Linked DNA regions of Struthio camelus. The protein of the gene in region 2 interacts with the protein of the main gene of each other region in a biochemical or structural test. Links are inferred from orthologs where the notes say so. Each region holds a gene or a part of one and is shown on either strand. Other genes may lie near its edges. The genes, in order: EME1 and SLX4.

What was found.
Region 1: the proteins of SLX4 (region 2) and EME1 form a complex in vitro, tested with the Homo sapiens proteins (3 studies listed by BioGRID, with this or other methods). The link is inferred for Struthio camelus from reciprocal best matches to the Homo sapiens genes SLX4 and EME1.

What each region holds. Positions count from the first base shown.
Region 1 is NC_090960.1:7,782,027-7,791,393, reverse strand, and holds the start of EME1 (crossover junction endonuclease EME1), read left to right. Parts: upstream 1-5,852; 5' UTR 5,853-5,978; coding exon 5,979-6,732; intron 6,733-6,814; coding exon 6,815-6,942; intron 6,943-7,139; coding exon 7,140-7,232; intron 7,233-8,077; coding exon 8,078-8,199; intron 8,200-8,633; coding exon 8,634-8,769; intron 8,770-9,159; coding exon 9,160-9,275; intron 9,276-9,367. Other genes in the region: uncharacterized protein, read left to right, coding at 361-507; MRPL27 (large ribosomal subunit protein bL27m), read right to left, coding at 2,227-2,433, 2,918-2,985, 3,744-3,866, 5,797-5,818. UniProt on the Homo sapiens protein: Non-catalytic subunit of the structure-specific, heterodimeric DNA endonuclease MUS81-EME1 which is involved in the maintenance of genome stability. In the complex, EME1 is required for DNA cleavage, participating in DNA recognition and bending.
Region 2 is NC_090956.1:18,639,279-18,648,329, reverse strand, and holds the start of SLX4 (structure-specific endonuclease subunit SLX4), read right to left. Parts: upstream 3,416-9,051; 5' UTR 3,261-3,415; intron 1,737-3,260; exon of another isoform or gene 1-1,736. UniProt on the Homo sapiens protein: Regulatory subunit that interacts with and increases the activity of different structure-specific endonucleases.

The DNA.
Region 1 (9,367 bases), on a different chromosome or scaffold from region 2:
AATGCCACTTACAATTAGGAGGGGTGACTGCAGCACAGGCCAGTATTGGCACAGCTGGCTTTACCAGTCATGGTAGCAGTGAATAAGCCCTGCCATGAACTGCAGTGGGAGCTCTGCCACAACATCCACTGTGCCACTGCTGTCGTTCTCTGTGGGAAGAGAGAGAAAGCTAGCCCAGCTCTGCCAAAATATAAAGTAACTAAAGCCCAGAGTTTCTCTTTTGCTGCTATACAGTGAGACTTGCTATCAAAATCTGGAAAGTCTGGTTTCTAGGTGCTTATATAAACAGAAGAGGAAGAGGTGGGATAATCTCCTTGCTATTTCTGATCCGCTGTAATACTTTTCCTCTCTCCTTCGTAGATGCCACCTCCCTACGAGCATGCTCTAAGGCATCCTCCAGCTTTCTCAGGAACAGTAGTAAGCTCAGAGACTTTGGACAGACATGGCATGCCAGACCCTTTCCAGGCCCCTCTCAGCTACCAAACTCAGAGAAACACAGCAGTGTAAGGACTCAGCCTCAAGATACTCCTTCCCATGCTGTCAGTGACAGAAGTGCCTGTGACATCGTTCTTGTCTGCAGGGAACAGCTAAACCTTAGACCTTCACAATCAGCTGAGAAACACACAGGCAAGTCGGACCCAGCCATTGGAGACTTCCATCCTGCAGCCCAAGGATAAAAGCGGGGCCGCCTCTAAACATTGCTCTTTGTCCAGAATAACCAGCGACGTCTGCTTGCTCTTCTCTCTGGCAAACATACTGTTACCAGAGAGCTACTTTGTTCTACACGGGGAGCAAAGCAAAGGTGAAGGTCTGCTCAGCTTGAGCCTGTTGAGGCAGCTGAGTGTAACATACCTCTGTGAGGCTGTGGCAAGTACTGCCAAACATACTAAGTGTTAGACCTCAGAAGGTGGTCGTGTTCTACTACTTCACTTATTTCTTAGGTTATAAAATGGTTTTCTTTATCAGCGTATCAGGTACCAGGTGGGAGTCCTGACCTGAGAGTAACAGAATGAATCTGCATCAGAGCATCACTATGTGCTCTCACAGCAACATTCCTCTGGGATATAGAACAATTTTGTATGAACTTGAGATAAAGATTCAGGTGTCCAGGAGATTCCAGTTTCAAGATCCAGGAGCTTGTGTTACTTGCAGTGCTGTATGCAGAGACTGGCAAGACGAACTGTGTGACTGGACATGCAGCTGGGAAAGGATAGAAGCATGGAGGGAATAGCCGCTGGTCTCTAAGAAGGACATAAAGAAACAAAGGTGGAAATATGTGGTTAACCCAGTCTACTTAGTTTTCTTTTGCAGAGCAGACAATCTAGTAATGTTAACGCTGGTGTCATTACACCACTGATTTTAATATCCTGTTTTCTACTGCAAAACAATTGTTTCAAAAATTGTTTACAAACCTGTAGATAAAGTGAGATCTGATTGGCCACCAGGCATCTGCGCTCCTGTCTTTTGAGCAGCATGAACAACCATGGAATGACTCATAGAAAAGATAAAAGGGTAGTCTGGATTACGGCTTTATGAGGTACCTCATGGCCTCCAGCAGCTGAGTTTCAAATACCATCCCAGGCTTGTGCACCTTACCAGGCACTCATGACTAATTATTTAGAGTTAGCTTTAGGAATGTAAACTTGCCTCATGTGGCTAGTAAATGGAACACTTTCAGGGATCGTATTGGAGTTAATAACTAACTCATCTCACTGATTAAGAAAAAACACTAGCTTCCTGGGATGCAGAGTTAGGTGCTAGTGGAAGAGGCTATGTCCTCTTCTGCAATATCTACAATTAAGATAGATACAAATATAACAGTAATGTCTAAAAATCATTAAAACTTGAGAGGGAATTATTAGTGGGAAAATAACCGATATAAGAGTGATTGTGAAGTTAACTAATCTAAGGAAACAGTGGAACAGGTTCTCCAGAAAAAGACAGCTCCACTTACTAAATGAGCATAAGCAACATAGATTCCGTGAACAGTCAAGATACTCAAGAAACCCATAGCATTTATTAAACCCTCTTATAAATGCCAGCAGGTGATTCCTGTGCCCAAGCACCAATCACATGCACTTTAGGAGCAAGAAGAGAGTCCTACACAAATATTTTCAGAGCTAGAATATTCTTCGAGGTATGTGGTATCCTAGGATGCCAGACCAGCTATAGTGATCTGTCCCAGCAGTTCTTCCCCATCTGCTGCTCCTAGATCGCACGGGAGGCTCAAAGCATGTTGACCAGTTTGAAGCTTCCTACTTCTGTGGTAGGGATAACACTGATGAAGGTTTTGTAAAGAATCGCTCCTTTAGGTAGACGGCAGATCACCTCCCTGCTCTCGCTGCTGCGGGGCGGAGGTACATAGACCTCTTTGGTGTATCTCACAATGCCATCCTCCAGAGCATAAAGTGTCTTGTTACGGCCTATCCCCACCTGGAAGAGGACAAGCACACTGTTAGAAAGGAAAGGCTGGAGGTACACCGCAGAAGCAGATCTGATCATCAGACTGCCTTGTTTGATATCCTGGTTTCAAAAGCAGCTGCTGCTTTGTATTTTAGAATGAAAGAAAACCACATTGCTTTGCTTCCAGCAAACAGTAGGTAATGTTTTTTATTACAAGGGAGGAGATACCAATTCCACCCTTAAGTATACCCTTAAGAGCCCAATTAGGTTACAGAAGTCTTTCAGGATATTCATAACTCTCAGTCCTTTCCCAAGTCACATGGGCACAGATATGATTCTAAGCAGGCTTTGTGACTAAGAAATAGAAGGCAGTGAAACCAGTTTTCAGGATTACATGGAAAATTGGGGAGGAAATTAAGAACCAGCTTGTAAGAAGCAGCATTGACTACTGGACTCTGTTGTGGGCTGCTGCTGTCCTCTTGAGAACTGAGGAAGAGCTGGAAAAGCAACTTACATGAGCCCCTGGGTGCCAGCGTATCAACCGCTGCGTAGCCAAAGTGTTGCCTGCGTGCACAAATGTACCTGCAACAGAGTTGCACAGTCAGATTGCAGAGGAATGGAGCTCCCTGGAGCTCGCAGAATACAAACAGTTCTGGAACTTATAAAACCAGCTTTCTGTGAGATTTTTCTAAAGAAAAATGACTTCAAATTCTAAAAGCATCTAAACAAAAATGCTATTGGCAAGAAATAGAAGGCAATTGATACATAATGTCAAAGAGCAATTCTAATCTTTGAAAAGATTACTTGTAGGGCAGAAGGCATTTTCTGTTTGCTCAGGGCATTTGTTTTATTACCTCTTACATTGATCTGTTTTCATCAGCAAACCTACTAATTATTAAGCACTCAACTATAAGAATCTTGTACTTTGGCTTCTGCTAAGCCTCATAATTCTCCCCTTTGTAAACATCTAAAATGCCCAGCTTTTGAAAACAGCATGGGGTGAAAGTGCATTGGAGTTATCAGGTGCCCCACAGTGTACCCCTCCTCCCAGACTCTCTAGAGAGAGGCAAAGTTAGAATCAAAGTATGTTTTCTATAGGCAATTTCAGCTGGCTGCATGGAGGCCCACCTGAGAGGGAGGCTGACTCACCCTGCCCTCCTGCTGGTGACTGGTGTAATTATGGATGGTGAGGCTTTGCTCAAACTCCTGTTTCCTTTCTCTTCTTTTCACCTCCTTCTGAAACACTCAGCAGTTACACATCTAACAGCCGTAGCAGGGGATAACCTGTGGAGAACCCACTGTAACACACATAAGGCTACTAAGCAGATGCCTTTACCTACCATCTACTTTTTTGGCTCCATAGCGTTTCCCAGGGCTGCGGCCACCTAAATTTTTTGAGCTGCCTCCAGCTTTCTTAGAAGCACATCTCACAGCAACCAGGCTTGTTCGCGGAGCAGCTAGAACTAGATTCAGACCAAGAACAACAACAACAAAAATCTCAGCTGAAAAAAAATCTTAATACTCTTCCTTTAAATCTTGAAAAAAAGACTGTCAATCAGTATACGTTTTAAAGCTAGAGGCAAAAGAAAGCCCTGAGGGAAAATATTACTACAAAGGTATATCATGGATAGACCACTGTAGACTAAATCTTCTGCAAAGAGGCCACGTTTCAAGAACTGCTGCTACCCAGGGAAGAATAAAACTCTCAGCAATGATGTTAAAGGACATATACAAATTCATATTTCAGTAATGCCTTATAAATCCATGAGCTACAGAAGTTACTGGTTGCTATGGATTGGCCTTACATAGCTTTGAGAAAAGACAAATTGTGATCTGTGTTTTGGTCTCCCCTTCAACTGAATTGGATTTACTTAAACAGTCTCATCTATAAGACTACAAAATGTTAAGACTGCCATTCAGGAAAGTATGTAAGCATAAATATAGTTACTATCCTGAACAAAAACTAATTTAAGCATTTTATGCAGCTCCTTGAGTTACAATCAGGACAAGTCAAGGAAAAAGAAAGCAGTTATTACAGTAACCATTATCTCTGGAACACAAAATATCATTCACGCTACAAAGCTCTTTCTTAAAAAGAGGAAAAGCACTTTTGAGTAAATACACTGATCTTCTTATCAAGAGAGCTGACCCTTCAGTGAACTTCTCTCTGTAAAAAAATGACTGAGATATAATAACTTCTTTTTACAAGTCTCTTTAGTTCCCTTTTACTTGCAGTTAGCAGCCATACCTAATTTTTTTTCTAAATCCAAATCTAAATTCAACCTCTTCAGCAGCAAGTTAGTAAAGAAGAGTAGCAGTCATAAAATTCTCATTTCCTTATTCAGAGTAGAAGCACTGAGTTAGTTTAATCTTAATTAAATTATCACAGATACTCAATGAGCTAAAATATCCCAGAGAGGAGGGAAATAGCTCTACAAAGAATGGTTAACTTTGATGCTTGATACTCACTGAGTACAAAAAAAAAAGCTGAGGCGTGACAAACTGCAGAGAAACGGGGAAAGATGGAAGGGGGTTTGCAGTTTCACATATATGCAAATTCTACTAAGTTAGAATCCAGTTAACTTTTATCAAAGAAAAAAAAACTGCAGTTGATTCCAAAGTTACATTTTGTGTTGAATGAAAAAAGCTGGCTAACCAAAAGTAAACCTCAATGCATCAAACATGGGGGGAAAGCAGTCTATCCACAGAGTGAAACAGCAAGGGACAGAGTTTGCAATTTAATAAAAATTACACTGGAAATCAACGCGGGAACTTCAAAACACTGACCTCCAGACAGAAATTATGACAGTATTCCTGACTATAACGTTTCTGAATAACAAAAGGGATTTCTAGGCCTCCTGGCTCTTGCAGTGCACAGGGATAGAGCGCCCCCCCTTGCTCTTTGATCTCCACACAGTAGAAATAAATAGCGTTTTTCCAAAATTGACTTTTTCCCCCTTGAGGACAGTCAAGCCGTGGAAGAGGCTGCCCAGAGGATTGGTGCAAGTCTCCATCCTTGGAGACCTTTGGAGACCAGAACGGAAAAAGCCCTGAGCAACTCGGCCTGAGCTCAGAGCTGGCCCTGTTTTGAGCAGGACGGACCGGCGACCTCCCGAGCTCCTCGACCACTGAGATCCCAACCCCACCCCGTGACGGGGCAGCCGCCCGGATGCAGACACCGGGGCTGACGCCCTCGCCCGACACCGCCAGCCCCGCGGCCGCTCACCCCGGCCCTGCGGAGCCCACGCAGGCGAGCCGGCGGCCTGAGGAGAGGGGAAGACCTCAGGATCGGTGGCGCCCACCCGCGAGAACGGGCCTCCCCTCGGGCCACCACCCCTCTCCTCAGCCGGGCCCAGGCTCCCACCCGCGGCCCCTTACAGCCCTTTCACTCACGCAGCTGCCTCAGCGCCGCCATCTTCCCCCGGCGCTGCGTCGCCTCCGCTTCCGGCGCGCGCGCGCGCGCGACCGTTAGGGCCAACGGCCGCCGGCGCGAGCGCGCGCGCGTTCGAACCAACCGCCGCCCGCGCGGCCGTTACTGCCTTCTCCCTACCCGCCCCGGGGCAGGACCGCTGAGGATGGCGGCGGAGAGCGACGAGGAGGTGCTGCCTACCTTCTCCTTCCTGCAGCAGGCGCCGCCGGCCGTCGCGGCCTGCAGCTCGGACTCCGAGCCGTCCTCGCCTCCTTCTCCGAGGCGGGGAAGGGCCTCGCGTAGCCAGGCCGCCGCGGAAGACGTTGTGATGCTGAGCAGTGACAGCGAGAGCGACGTAGAGCTCGTCCCGCTGTCGGAGAGGCTAAAGAGGAAACCGCGCCCCAGCGGGCTCTGCGCAACGGGGGTTGTGCCTGTCGAGGCCCCCCAGCTGGGCAGCAGGGATACTGCAAGCCCAGCTGGGGGAACTGGGCTCTGCCAGAGCGCTGGCCAGTTGGCTCCTGGCAGCAGAGGACAGCATCTTCCAGAGTCCTCTGAGGTCCCGAGAGCCCTGGCACCGTCCGGAGAAATGTTTTATAGGAGCCCAAATGATGACGTGCGCGGTTCTGGCAGACCACCTTTGTGCCCGCTGGCAGACTGCTTGTCTGATTCCGCAGCCCAAAGTAGCAGGTTGTTGGGAAAAGAAGCAAGTCTGGAAACATCTCCTCCTCCAAAGAAGTCAAAATATAGTCAGAAGGAAAGGGAGACAGTCTCTCAGGCTGCATGGCAGAGGAGGAAGGAGCGCGAAGCACGGAAGAGGCAGCAGGAGCAGGAAAAAGAGAGGAGGAAGGCCCTTGCCAAGACGTTGAAAGCTCAGCGTCCTGGGGAGTGCCAGAAATACATAACAGTGGTGCTAGACCCAGGTACTTTTCCCCACATCCTGCATCTGCCTTATATGAATTATCAACTCTTGCTATGGAAGCCTGACCCATGCACCAATTTCAGTTCTCTTACAGGTAGAAGGTGGTGGACAGGTCCTCAGTTCTTTGCAGTCTGGGAATTATTCCTGTGTGATTGAGAGTCAGACTGTTCCCTGCAGCATCACTTGGCGGAGAAGGGCTGTGTCATCTCAGGTGTGGGAGCAAAATCTTGATGTTCTTGCCTTTTTCTTTGACTCCTATTTGAACTAGATAGTAGTAGTTATAAGCAACCCAAGTAACTGCCTTCCAAACTTTTTCCTATCTTGGAGCTCTGAGTGAGAGCACCAGTCTGAGTGAGCTGAATTATAGACAGACGATTGGTCTGGTTTTTTGTTTTCATATCTGGGCAGATTCAAGAAGAAAGTGGATGGACGGAAGAACCGAATGTCCTGGTTCTGCTTCGCTTGGAGGAGTTTTTGTTCATGGTTCACAACTACAAACAAGTGAGACTGCTTATGACTTTTTCATACTCTCAGAATATGTCTTGCTGAAAGGGTGGTATTTGTCGTCTCTTTTCACGGCAGTAAGGTTTTAACGTGGGAAGGAAGCTATGGTTCCAGTAAAGTATAAATCTGATTTTAGAAGCCGTTACTGGATCAAAACCAGCAAGGCTGTATGATGCAAAGCTCTTACCTGGTACAAACCTTCTCCGCTAATTACAATTTTTCATAGATTTTTTGAAGAGGAAATGTTGTCCTAATAGATATTGAAAGATCAAGGATGGTCTTTGCTGCTATAGCTTTACACTGGATCAGGCGTTATCTGTTTGCTTACAGCCGCTAAATAGCCAATATAAACAGTGCTTTGTGTACTTTTGTTAATGAGACAGGTATACATTTTTGTGCTCATGCCTGTTCTCAAATTAAATATGTATTTCAAGAATATCAGACAGTACACAGATCTGATACTGGTAAGGGTGGAATCCAGACCTCAGTAGAAAGAGAAAAATCCTGATTCAAAACTCTATGAATATCCAGCACTGAGAATCTTTTTGAATTGACATGATTAGACTCTCCTTTTCTGCTATGTTGGAAGGAGGCTTGAGACATACGCAAGCTTCTTTGCTTAATCGGCCAGCTGGGTGTCCCTCCAGAATAGGAAACTAAACCTTAGTCCTGTGGGATAGACCTTTTCTTCTGCAAAGATCCAGTTGCACAATTGGGGCCATAGGTTGTTCTATCCTAAAGCTAGGACAGAAGGCCTATATAGGCTGGCCTATATAACTCAGAATTTTTTAAACCCCCCCCTCCCCCCCGTTTTTTTTTTTTTTTTCTGTTGATCTTTGCAGGAAGTCCAGGGCTGCACAGAAGGACAGAAGGAGACACTACAGAGTTTTGTTGCTCATGTGATGGAGAAAATGCCTGGGAAGATTCTGGCACTGGCAGTGGTTGAAGTAGAAAATTATTTCAGGTTAGGCTTTTTTCCCTTGTCTTTGGCACTGAAAAATATAATAGGTATTTACATTAATTCCTTCTAGCAAAGACTGGAACATAAGAAGTATTCCTACCCAAAACTGTTCTACTATTTGTTATAGAAGAACAGAAACAAAGGTCCACCTAGCCTATCACCATGAGTGACCAACAGCAAATATCTAGGGAAGAGCATGAGGAGAGGGGAAAAAATGTAGGATACTTCCTTTGAATACCTTCCTAGCTTCCAAAAATTTGTTGCTGAGGCGTTTTCGTAATCAGATGTAATGTTTTTGTGTTTAATAGTCCTTGACAGTTTCTTCTATTTGGCATCCCCTAGTAGGGGTGCTGACACTAAGTTATTAGGCACTCCACAGCAGCCTGATCTTCTGTGCTATTTGTGCTGACGTGAACTCCTTATCTTCCTCTTCTTAGATCTCTCAGAGCTCAGTCAAAAAAGAGACTGCAACAGGCAGCAGTGAATGGAGACCAAGCAGAGGAACAGGGAAAACGGAGAAAAAAGAAAGCTAAGGATTCTGGCCCGGATGTGTCCAGACTAGATGTGGAAGAAGTGAGTACCTTTAGAACAGGCATGCAGTAGTCGTCTCTGTTCCTGTCTGCCCTTGACTGAGCGTTTGACCCAATCATGCTTTTTCTTGGGTGGGGGAATTCAGCCTTTGTGCACATCAGCGCTGAACTGGAATGGGTGGCCTGCATGTAACGAGAGCCCTCCACTGAGGAGCTAAGTCAGCTGAAGTGGCACTAACCTGCTATTCCACAAGCAGGAGACCAACTGCCCCTACATACCTTAGTGCCTCAAGCTAGCTGTTCACGTACTGGGGAGAGTGTGCATGGTCTTGTCCTATAGCAAGGTGTGATGACACTTTTTGTATCAGACGAGCAGAGTCTGATGGGATAAGAGGATGAATTGTTCCATTATTGTTTCCGCTGTTGTTTACAGGCGCTGGTGGATCTGCAGCTGCACACGCAAGTCCAAGTCAGATTTGCTGAGAGCTGGGAGGAACTCGGAGAGTTTGTCAGTATGTTCACTAAAGCAGTAGCTGAAGCACCGTACAAGTGAGTAAGCAGATGAGACTTTGAAATATCTTCTTGGGAGAGGCTTTACTTTCAAGATTACTGGGAGGGAATAACAAGTATACAGCTGTACT
Region 2 (9,051 bases):
GAGATCAACGCCAGGCTGTTAACGCAATAGCTTATATGGGACTTGATAACGGAAGACGGATAACAAATTAATATGAATCAACACAGTGTTATGAAAAACACCATCTCCTGTGTTAACTTAGTATCTTTTTAATGAGACCTCTGTATGCTAAGAGGTGTAAGCATTTTGTAAACCGCTAAGGTAGTAACAGGGACAAACTGATTAATTAAAATCATACAAAGTCAACACTACACACATTTAAAACGATTAAAATCTAGCTGCCATAAAGGTTTCAAAATGCAACGAAGAGCAATCGTTGAATATGTATGTTCCTAGTATGATCCCAGAGATTCACTCACAGCCTGTTTTGTTTTTCTATTATTTAGACTTAGGAAAGGAGTTAGGAGAGACATCAACTACCACTGATCAAGCTGTCTGATGACACGAACAAGGGACCTGCTAGACAGCGTTGATGACAGACTGAGGCAGAACAACGCACACCGCGTGACAAACTAGCACAGGCATGCAATATAAATCTCAATACAAAGTCATATTTTAGGAACAGGAGCACAGGCCATACTCACAGGATAGGCAAGTCTATCCAGTAACTACAAAGGAGTTAAGAGCCCTGACATCAGACTAATGGGAGGGTCCGTATCTGATTCTGTGGCCACCTTGGTAAGTAGAGCAGCCAAAAGGTTGTGTTTCCTGCTTGGCACTAGTGAAAACAGCAGCGGCATTGCTACAGTGAACCTGTAGCACAATTCATTCACAAACCAGAGAGGTTACCTACAGATAACGCAGCATTAGCAGCACATAGCTTAGGAAAGACTTTCTTTCCAACTGCCCTTTCGGCACAAAGAAAAAAGCCTTACCTACTCCATCACGAGTGACCACACTGTTACCTTACCCCAGGTTTCTGACCCAACTCAGACAGCAACAATTTTGATCATTTCAGAGGATTCCATCATTTGGTAGGATAAAGAATGATCAAGAACACAGCAATCAAGAGTTACAGATGTTTGTGGAAAGAGATCAACTGAATAATCAGTGAGGAAGTGACTATAAAGAGAAATAAGAAGATTTTATTGTTAAATATGCAAGCCATTTCTTTTCAAGAGTGCAGTGTTATTCTAAAGGGCATTAAATACTGAAGGGGATGGTTACTTAAAACAATGTACATTCTATCAATAGTTTTCAAAAAGTTTATCTTCTGATTTTAGATTATGTCAAAATCTATGTCATCACAAAAGCCAAACATATAGTGAAATTTAACACAGTATTTTGATTTTTCCGCATTCTCCACAACAGTAAGATACCTGCTTTGAAAGGTGACCAAATTCATCACAGATTTCCACAGGCAGACTAAACCTAGGTCTTTTACACTAACATTTAATTAATTTACAGTAATGTATAATTTGCTCTCTTCCCAGCTAAAATAATATATAAGAGCTACAGTAAAATACATAACATAGTATCTTGTAGGTAAATTGCTTTAAGCTGATTCTGCCCTATCATACCTGTTCTCCATACTAACAAAGTATATTGGAAGTAGATAGGCTTGGTTTACAGTTCTCAGAATAGATTTTTACATGTCTTTACATTAAACTACTTTTTCCTTTTACTAACTTAAGTCCTTGACATCCTCAATATATAAATATATCATTACCTACAAACTTGATATGAGCACTCCAGGAACCTCTGGTTATCACACCAATAATCTCAGGGATGCATAAATGTGTCTGTTCCGTAGCCTACTAATAAGAGCAAGAGGTCAGCTCACAGACTACTAAGTCAGTTCCTCTATGTTTAGCTTTCAGGAAAATTCTTTCTAGAAACTCTGAGGAAGGGCCTTAAACACAATTGAGGACCCCGAAGCATAGTTGGAGGTTCACGAGCGCACAATAAAGTGTCAAATATCCTGTTTAAATTGCTATTTTCTACCATTTGACACCTCCTTTGGAAAAAGCTTTAACAAAAATTGAGCCAGTGGGAAAAGCAAACGCTCAGAAGAACTTGAGGTCCGTTTTCTTCCGAATGTAAAGCTTATGATAAAATTTCTTTTGTTTCTGTTTCCAATCTGCTGCTGACACATCCCCACAGTGCAAAGCAATATAACATTTCCTAGATACAGAGAAAACTGTTTCAAGCCAAACAGCCAAACCAAAGGGGAGGGGACGGACCAGGAGGGAGATGAGGAGTAGGATCTGAAGGAGATGTGAAAGCTAACCAAACCAGGATCTTTTTGTAATTAGAGCAGCGACTGTACCCAGCCTACGATTTTTGAGTTTATACAGCAGCCAGTAGACTGAGCATGAATTAAAGTTGTTGCCTTCGGGCATTACTAGCATCAAACTATTTATTACAAATAAGAAATATTTTAGCCCTGCAAATGCACAATTTCTGCTTTATTTAAGATCATCATGGCTACTAGATGTGCACCTGCACATCTGCAGGATCAGGGGCACAGTCCTGCCATTAGAACAGCCAGCACTGCCTGTTTCCGCTCAAGGTGGGCCCTTTTGCCCCAGGCCCCTTGGGCCTGGAAGCGATAGATACAATTCTTTATTGCTTCACGAAGCAGCCAACAGAATCGTTGACGGTTGTTTCAGTTTTTACTGGATCTCCCCAGCAGCCCTGGACGTTACCGCCGCGCTCAGCGTGGCGCGGGGAGTTTGCCTGGAACACCCAGCCGGCTGACATCAGGCACACCTTGGCGCAGGGCCGCCGCCGACGGCGCACCCGCCTTATCCGGCCCTCCATTGAACAACTTCGGCTCCGCTTGACCCCCAACTCTTGTTTGCTTTTGACGGCAGGTGACGCCAAGGGCTGAGGCTTCGCCCCACGGGGCGGCCGCAGCGCAGCAAGGAGCTGCCCTTCGGAGTCCGACCCCGCGGCCCGCGAAGCAGCCTCCCCCAAGGCGTCAGGGCCCCGCGGCCCGGCTGGAAGCGCCCGGGGCGGGTGCAGGCGCGGGGCCCATGCCGCCCCCGCCGGCAGCGCCTCGCCCTGTCCAGGCCCGAGGGGCCCGCGGCGACCCAGCTCCGCACCTCGCCCTCTCTCGCAGGCCGCGGCGCCGCCGCCTCCCCGCCGGCAGGTGGCGCCGCGCCGGGGAGCGCCGATGGCGGCGGCGGCGGAGTGACGTCACGCCAACCGCCCGCCCGCCGCCGGCCCCACAGAGGCGCGGCCCGCGCGGCCGCCGCTGACAGGGCGGAGCGCCCGGTGCCGCCGCGCCCGCTCGGCCCGCCGCCACAGCCGCCCCCGGCCCGCCGCCCGGCGCTGACCTCTCCGCCGGGCCACGGGCTCCCTCCGCTCCTCGCGCCCTGCCACAACGGCGGGGAGCGCCGACACTGAGGCGAAGCGCATGCGCCGCGCGCCAACCGTCTCCCCGACCCCCCCTTCCCGGGCGGCTTGCGCACGCGCGCTCGGCCTGGGCCGCGCCTTCCCCGCGCAGGCGCAAAGGTTTCCCGCCGCGGGAGCGGTTGCCATGGTGACGGCCCGCCGTCAGCCGGCCCAACGGTCGCCGGCTGCTCGCGGCCCTTCCGCGCCGCGCGTCGGTGGGCGGCGGCCGCTGAGGGAAACCCGCCCCGGGGCGGGCAGCCCCGCCGCCCCCCGCCGCAACCGCGGGAAGAGTAAAATACAGGAGCGCTTGAGCGGGGCCCGCGGCTGCCACACAGGTGAACAGGTCTCAGGTGAAAACATGTAGCAGAGCGTTGCCCTTTTTTTTTTTTTGAAAAGAATTAAAATCCTTGGAAACACGCAGCTGTAGAAGCATATGAATGTTGAGGACATAAAGACGTAACATTTGCTTGTGAGCGCCAAAAACTCACTCCTTCAGCTGCCCGGATAAAACCTGCCCTATACTCATTGGTGGGCTACAAAGCCGCCGCTGAAGACCAATATAATTGTAGTGCTTTGGGGATGTAACGAGCGGTTTGGTCCTCAGCAGGACATGGGTGGCAGTACTGACACGGAAGGTGAGCAGCGCTGTACCTCCAGCTTCCCCGGGCTCCTGGGTCAAGCGAGAGAGCGTTACCTTCGTATTTCGTACTTTTTACTACCTGGGGTCGAAAAGGAAAATGGATGTCAAGCTTTCACACCGCTCAGTCCAGGCTCTGAGATCTCATACTGAATTTTAAACTCTGAGCTGTGTTCAAAAGCAATTTCCTCCAGGTGAGCAGTTAGTTGTGGCTAAAGGTCTTCAGGTAATCAAAGCACCAGAGAGGCAGGGGGCTTCTTCCTACGCTGGGTTTCCGTTCTCAGTGCAGGTTTCTGTGTCGGAAGCGGAGTTTTTCCTTAAAGCTTGGCATGGATGCAGTAAGACCCAAGGCTACTACTAGGTAACGTTTCTGAATGGGCATACAGACGTTTGACAGCCACAGCGTCTTCCATATGCTGCTAAGGACAGCCCTATTAGTTTGCTTCAAAAACATCAAGTACTTTACTAACAATAATGCTACTAAATGTAAGCATCCTGATGGCTCCTTTATGTGCATCAGCATTTATTTTTCCGTAATTACATCTTGATCCCTAAAATTTGACATTACCACAACAATTTGACACTGTTATAGTCTTGCCAGTTTGGAAATTTTCTAGGGAAAAAAAAAAAACTACAACTTTTAAAACAAAATGAGCTACTGAGACACCATATTTTTTCAGTACCAGTAAAGCAATTTAATTTTTAATCCATGCTGAATTCAAACAATTTTAGCTTGAATGTTAAGCAAAAAGCAGCGCCCTTGGTGATTTTGGCAAGATTTAACAGAATATTTTATGCAGTGAATCTCCCCAGGAGACAGAATCTGCCCATGTCCGCATGGCAGAACCAGAACCAAAACTGATATGAAGAAATCCTTTGGTTTGTGTCTTTCAACACGTCTGCTAGTTTATTCGAGTCCTCTCTCAAGTTGCTACGCTTTATGGGAATTAGAAGCGCTCTTAAGAAAATCCTGCAATAACTTAGAAGCAAATATTGCACAAACATACTGAAAATACTCCAGTTATGATGTCCTGAGACATTGCACTGGTTCCACGATTACTACTAAGCCAGGTCACAGTAACTTTTTGTTGCACGATACCATAAATGCAATTCTTGAGCACCAAACGTTTAAAATAAAAATCCAAACTAAGCATTAGAGAAGCAGGGAATCTAATCTAGAGGGAGCACTAAATTATGCCAAACAGCCTTACTTTTGCCTTCATATTCTTACCTGTGTTTTCAAATAGATGAAGTGAGGCAGGGAACGAGCAGGAGAGGAGACCCTGACAAATAGCCCAGGTAAAACTCAAGCTTTCTGCAAGTGCCAGATCGCGTTCCTCTCCTCCCAGCTACAGCCATAACCCTTGCTGGTATTGAGCCCCGAAGTCTGTGTCCTCTTTGATAGATGCCATCGAGGTAGGCGGCAAGAGGACGTCAAGCGGTTTCTCCACAAGAAGCCAGACAGCCTGCAAACCCTGTCCGCACCTGCGATCCGTGAAATTGCCCAGCAGCGTTACAGCAACTGACACTGAACACAGTGAACATGCACCATCTTCAGCTAGAGACCAGCCTCCACGCCGCTGCTGCCAGACAACACTGCGACCTTGATCCCTTCTATTGCATTTTTTTAAAAATCTGCACTTAAAAAGAACCAGCTGAATTGTGGCATTTTTATACAGGTAAGCTCCAAAGCACAGAGATTTGACAATACCTACTGCTTACCAAACTGGTATCTATTTCACAGGACATTTCTATGCCTCTAACCATTGCTGAACGGCAACAAGGACATGGTTGCTACAAAAGGCTTTATTCACTATTTGGAACTTAAGAATATCTGGAAGATGCAGCCGCAATAACAGGTATAGAGAGAGGAAGGAGCTCTCCCAAAATCACGCAGCTGCTCAGAGGCAGGATATCTGATTCCCTATTTATGTAGGGGAAGATAGCTGACCTACGGGACTTTCGTTAATAATCTTTTTAAGAATTCACTTTTTCTTCCCGTTAAGGAAAAGGTCTGCATCAGAGATGACCGACCGGCCCCCAATCACAAAGTCTTCTCTGCGTTGAAACAGCAGCCGCAGCTCTCCCAGCTGGTGGAGTTTGTGGCTGTTCACTTAGGGCCTGCCAGCACAGCAGGGCTGACCAAGAGGCTGCAATATCACCTTCTGGCTACCAGAGGCCCCAGAGCCTCCGGAGGGCAGTGGGGCTGGAGAGGGACAGCGACTCGGGGGTAAGGGTACACACGGTTCCTGCCAAGCAGGCAGCGCTGGCTCTCCTGGCTCAGTGCAGGGAGCTGGGAGACAACAGCTTCCTATTGAACTTCAGCCAGAAAAAAATGGCTAAAAATGGTTTGGAGCAGTAACACGGGACAGGGATGACGTGCTGGGCTGGCAGGGCTCAAGAACTGAAGAGGTAAGAAAAACACAGACTAGTGGAAGTGAAGCCACTTCTACAGACATGCCTAAAGCATGAATGTAGGGCCCCAGTGCTTTAAACTCTGCCATGAAAATTTTGACTTAATTAGAAATACACACTATTAGTACCCTCCCATTACACAGTTATATAGGTGCAGAGAGATCCTTGAAATAGCAACACTTCTGATATATGTTGCAAAGGACAGGATATTTACTATCATGCTTTATTTTTGAGCTTTCTCTCTAGATAACTATGATCGTGTTCAGTATAGTCAGTATTTCCAATATTAAAAGTATTTTAAAAACAGCTGGGCCTGAAGTCACAGTGCAATGCTATTTACACTAAATATATAAACATATATATATAAAAAATGCACACATTGTAGATCATCTATACATATACACATGTATCCCCAGAATGCTAAATTAAGCACATCTTAAAATTTGTGTTTCTCTCTGCTCTCTCTGCTCAGTGTGACAAGCAGTTCCCCTGATCTATTATAAAGACTTGTAACTCTGGTGGCTGTTTGGCAACTTCAGACTAACTTTTTGAAGCTTCCAATACAAATTGGCTCAGTCCAGGTCAGAAACCATCAGAGAAGCAGTGAAGGGGCCTAGTTTAATAACAGTGGATGGGAAGACTGAGTAAAGTTTAGGTTTAACCTGCCCTTCACAGGATCTCATGAGCTTTGACCATGTTGGATGATGGAGCTCAGCACAATGCTCTGTGCACTGACTCTCTTGAAAGGACAAAGCAAGCAACAATGCAGCATTTTCCTCGAGAATAGTTATCTTTTTTCCCTAAACTGTGAACTTTGGGATGGTGCATGCCAGCATATATTCCTGTCTCCTCTTGTAAACCTGCCAGATTAACTGCACATTCCCGTTCCATAAGTCACACAGCACAAGTTAGAGAGGATACACTTCCAATGAATTTGTTATAAAATAAATTTTTTTCTCTTGTTCTCTTTGACAGTGAAATCAAATACAATTTCCAAGAAGAATCACCAGCAATCAATAAGGGCATTGGGCATTAGATGTGTACTAAAAGTCTCTCTAAAAACTTTAAAAAAGCAATGCCCAATTAAAAAAATGCTGATGGCTTGATTTCTTGAAGCATATTGCAAGATAACTTACAGCACCTGCTAAACTACTTGAGACAAAACAAGCCCAGGGATTTAGATACATTAGCAAAGACAAAACTCAAGCTGAACCTCCCTCTGCCTCCTGTCACAGCTCTGACTTCCCAAGTTTCTCAGAGTTTCCTTTCTGGAACAGGTTTTAACCCAATTACCCCTCATTTACTTGGGCTACAAAAGGAGAACCAAGTTTTGCTTGGCTTCACAGACTGCTTCTTGTTAACTGCTATTACCTGACCCCAAATCCCATGCAGATAATAATCTTGACATTTGGAATAAAGTCAGGCAGAGATGTTTAATGAGCAATTCATTATGACATGTTTTGCCATATAGACTTAAGGAGGAGGAAACTCTGCTTCTTTCACCAAGTTTTCATCCTTCCTGCTGCATGTAAGTAGATTAAGGGCAATGAGTCCTTATAAGTTTAAGTACTTACAGAAGCCTTTGGTCCTTGCACTCCTGCCAATTATTCCATTTTGACCAGGACTGAGGGCATATTTTTTATCCAGTCCCACCTGTTCACACTCCGGATTGTTTCCTGGAACAGTCAGATGGGAATGGGCTTGTGATTTGAGATTGATTTCTTGCCAGAAGGGGCTCCAGCTCTGACAGTGGGAGAGAGTGCCACTCTGGGGAGCACCCCTCTGTCATGGATGAGAATGAGAAAATGACTGTCAAGGCCCTCTTGGCTTGGATTGCATCGCAACCACAGCATCAGTCACTAAGGGCTCTAGAGAAGATGGAGGTAAATGTAGAGGGGAAGGAAAAGGAGAAGCAAAAGATGATTCTGCAAACAGGAGAGCAAATGACTTTTTCTGGAATAGAGCTTCCTGCTGATGAAAGAAAAGGAAAACCTGTGTTCAACTGTGCCCAAGGAACTTGAGGTGAGCTGTTCTCAGTCGAGATGGCAAGATAGAAAAGCAAGGTCCTTTTTGGCCATCCTCCTTTTCCCAAGCAATTGGGTAGGTTTCCAACTGGAAAGAACTTTGTAAAGGATGATTCCAGTAAGCAACCAAGCTTCCACGTCTTTATTGAAATCCTAGGAATTTTTGAACCCTAAGTTACTGAGAAAGTACATGATCATCTCACCAGATAAGGTTGTCCTCAAAACTGCCCTGGGAGGACTTTTCAAATTAATAGGGTATAGGACAGGAACGCTTTCGGGAAGAGGTGCTTCAAGTTTCTGTTACGTTCATGTAGCCTCTCTCATCCAAACCCAGGAGGTCCTTGTCTATATGTCTTTGGATCTTGGAGAAGCAGTTGGTTCTACTCTGCGCTGGGATTCTTGAGTCCTGGGTTGTACCCCTAGCTCAGATTCACTGTGTTTCTTAGGGAAATTTATTTAATCTCCATACAGACCTTATTTGTGCAACGAGAACAACTCTGACTTAGTTACTCCTCCCATCTTCCTTGTGAAATAACAACTGTAAGGCGCTACAGAAGTGCTAAACATTATTAATGGCTCACAAGTTCTCTTCTTTTGGAAACAGTGGCCATTTCTTCGCATAATGTTTTAAACAGTTGCTGCTTGAGGAGCTTAGAT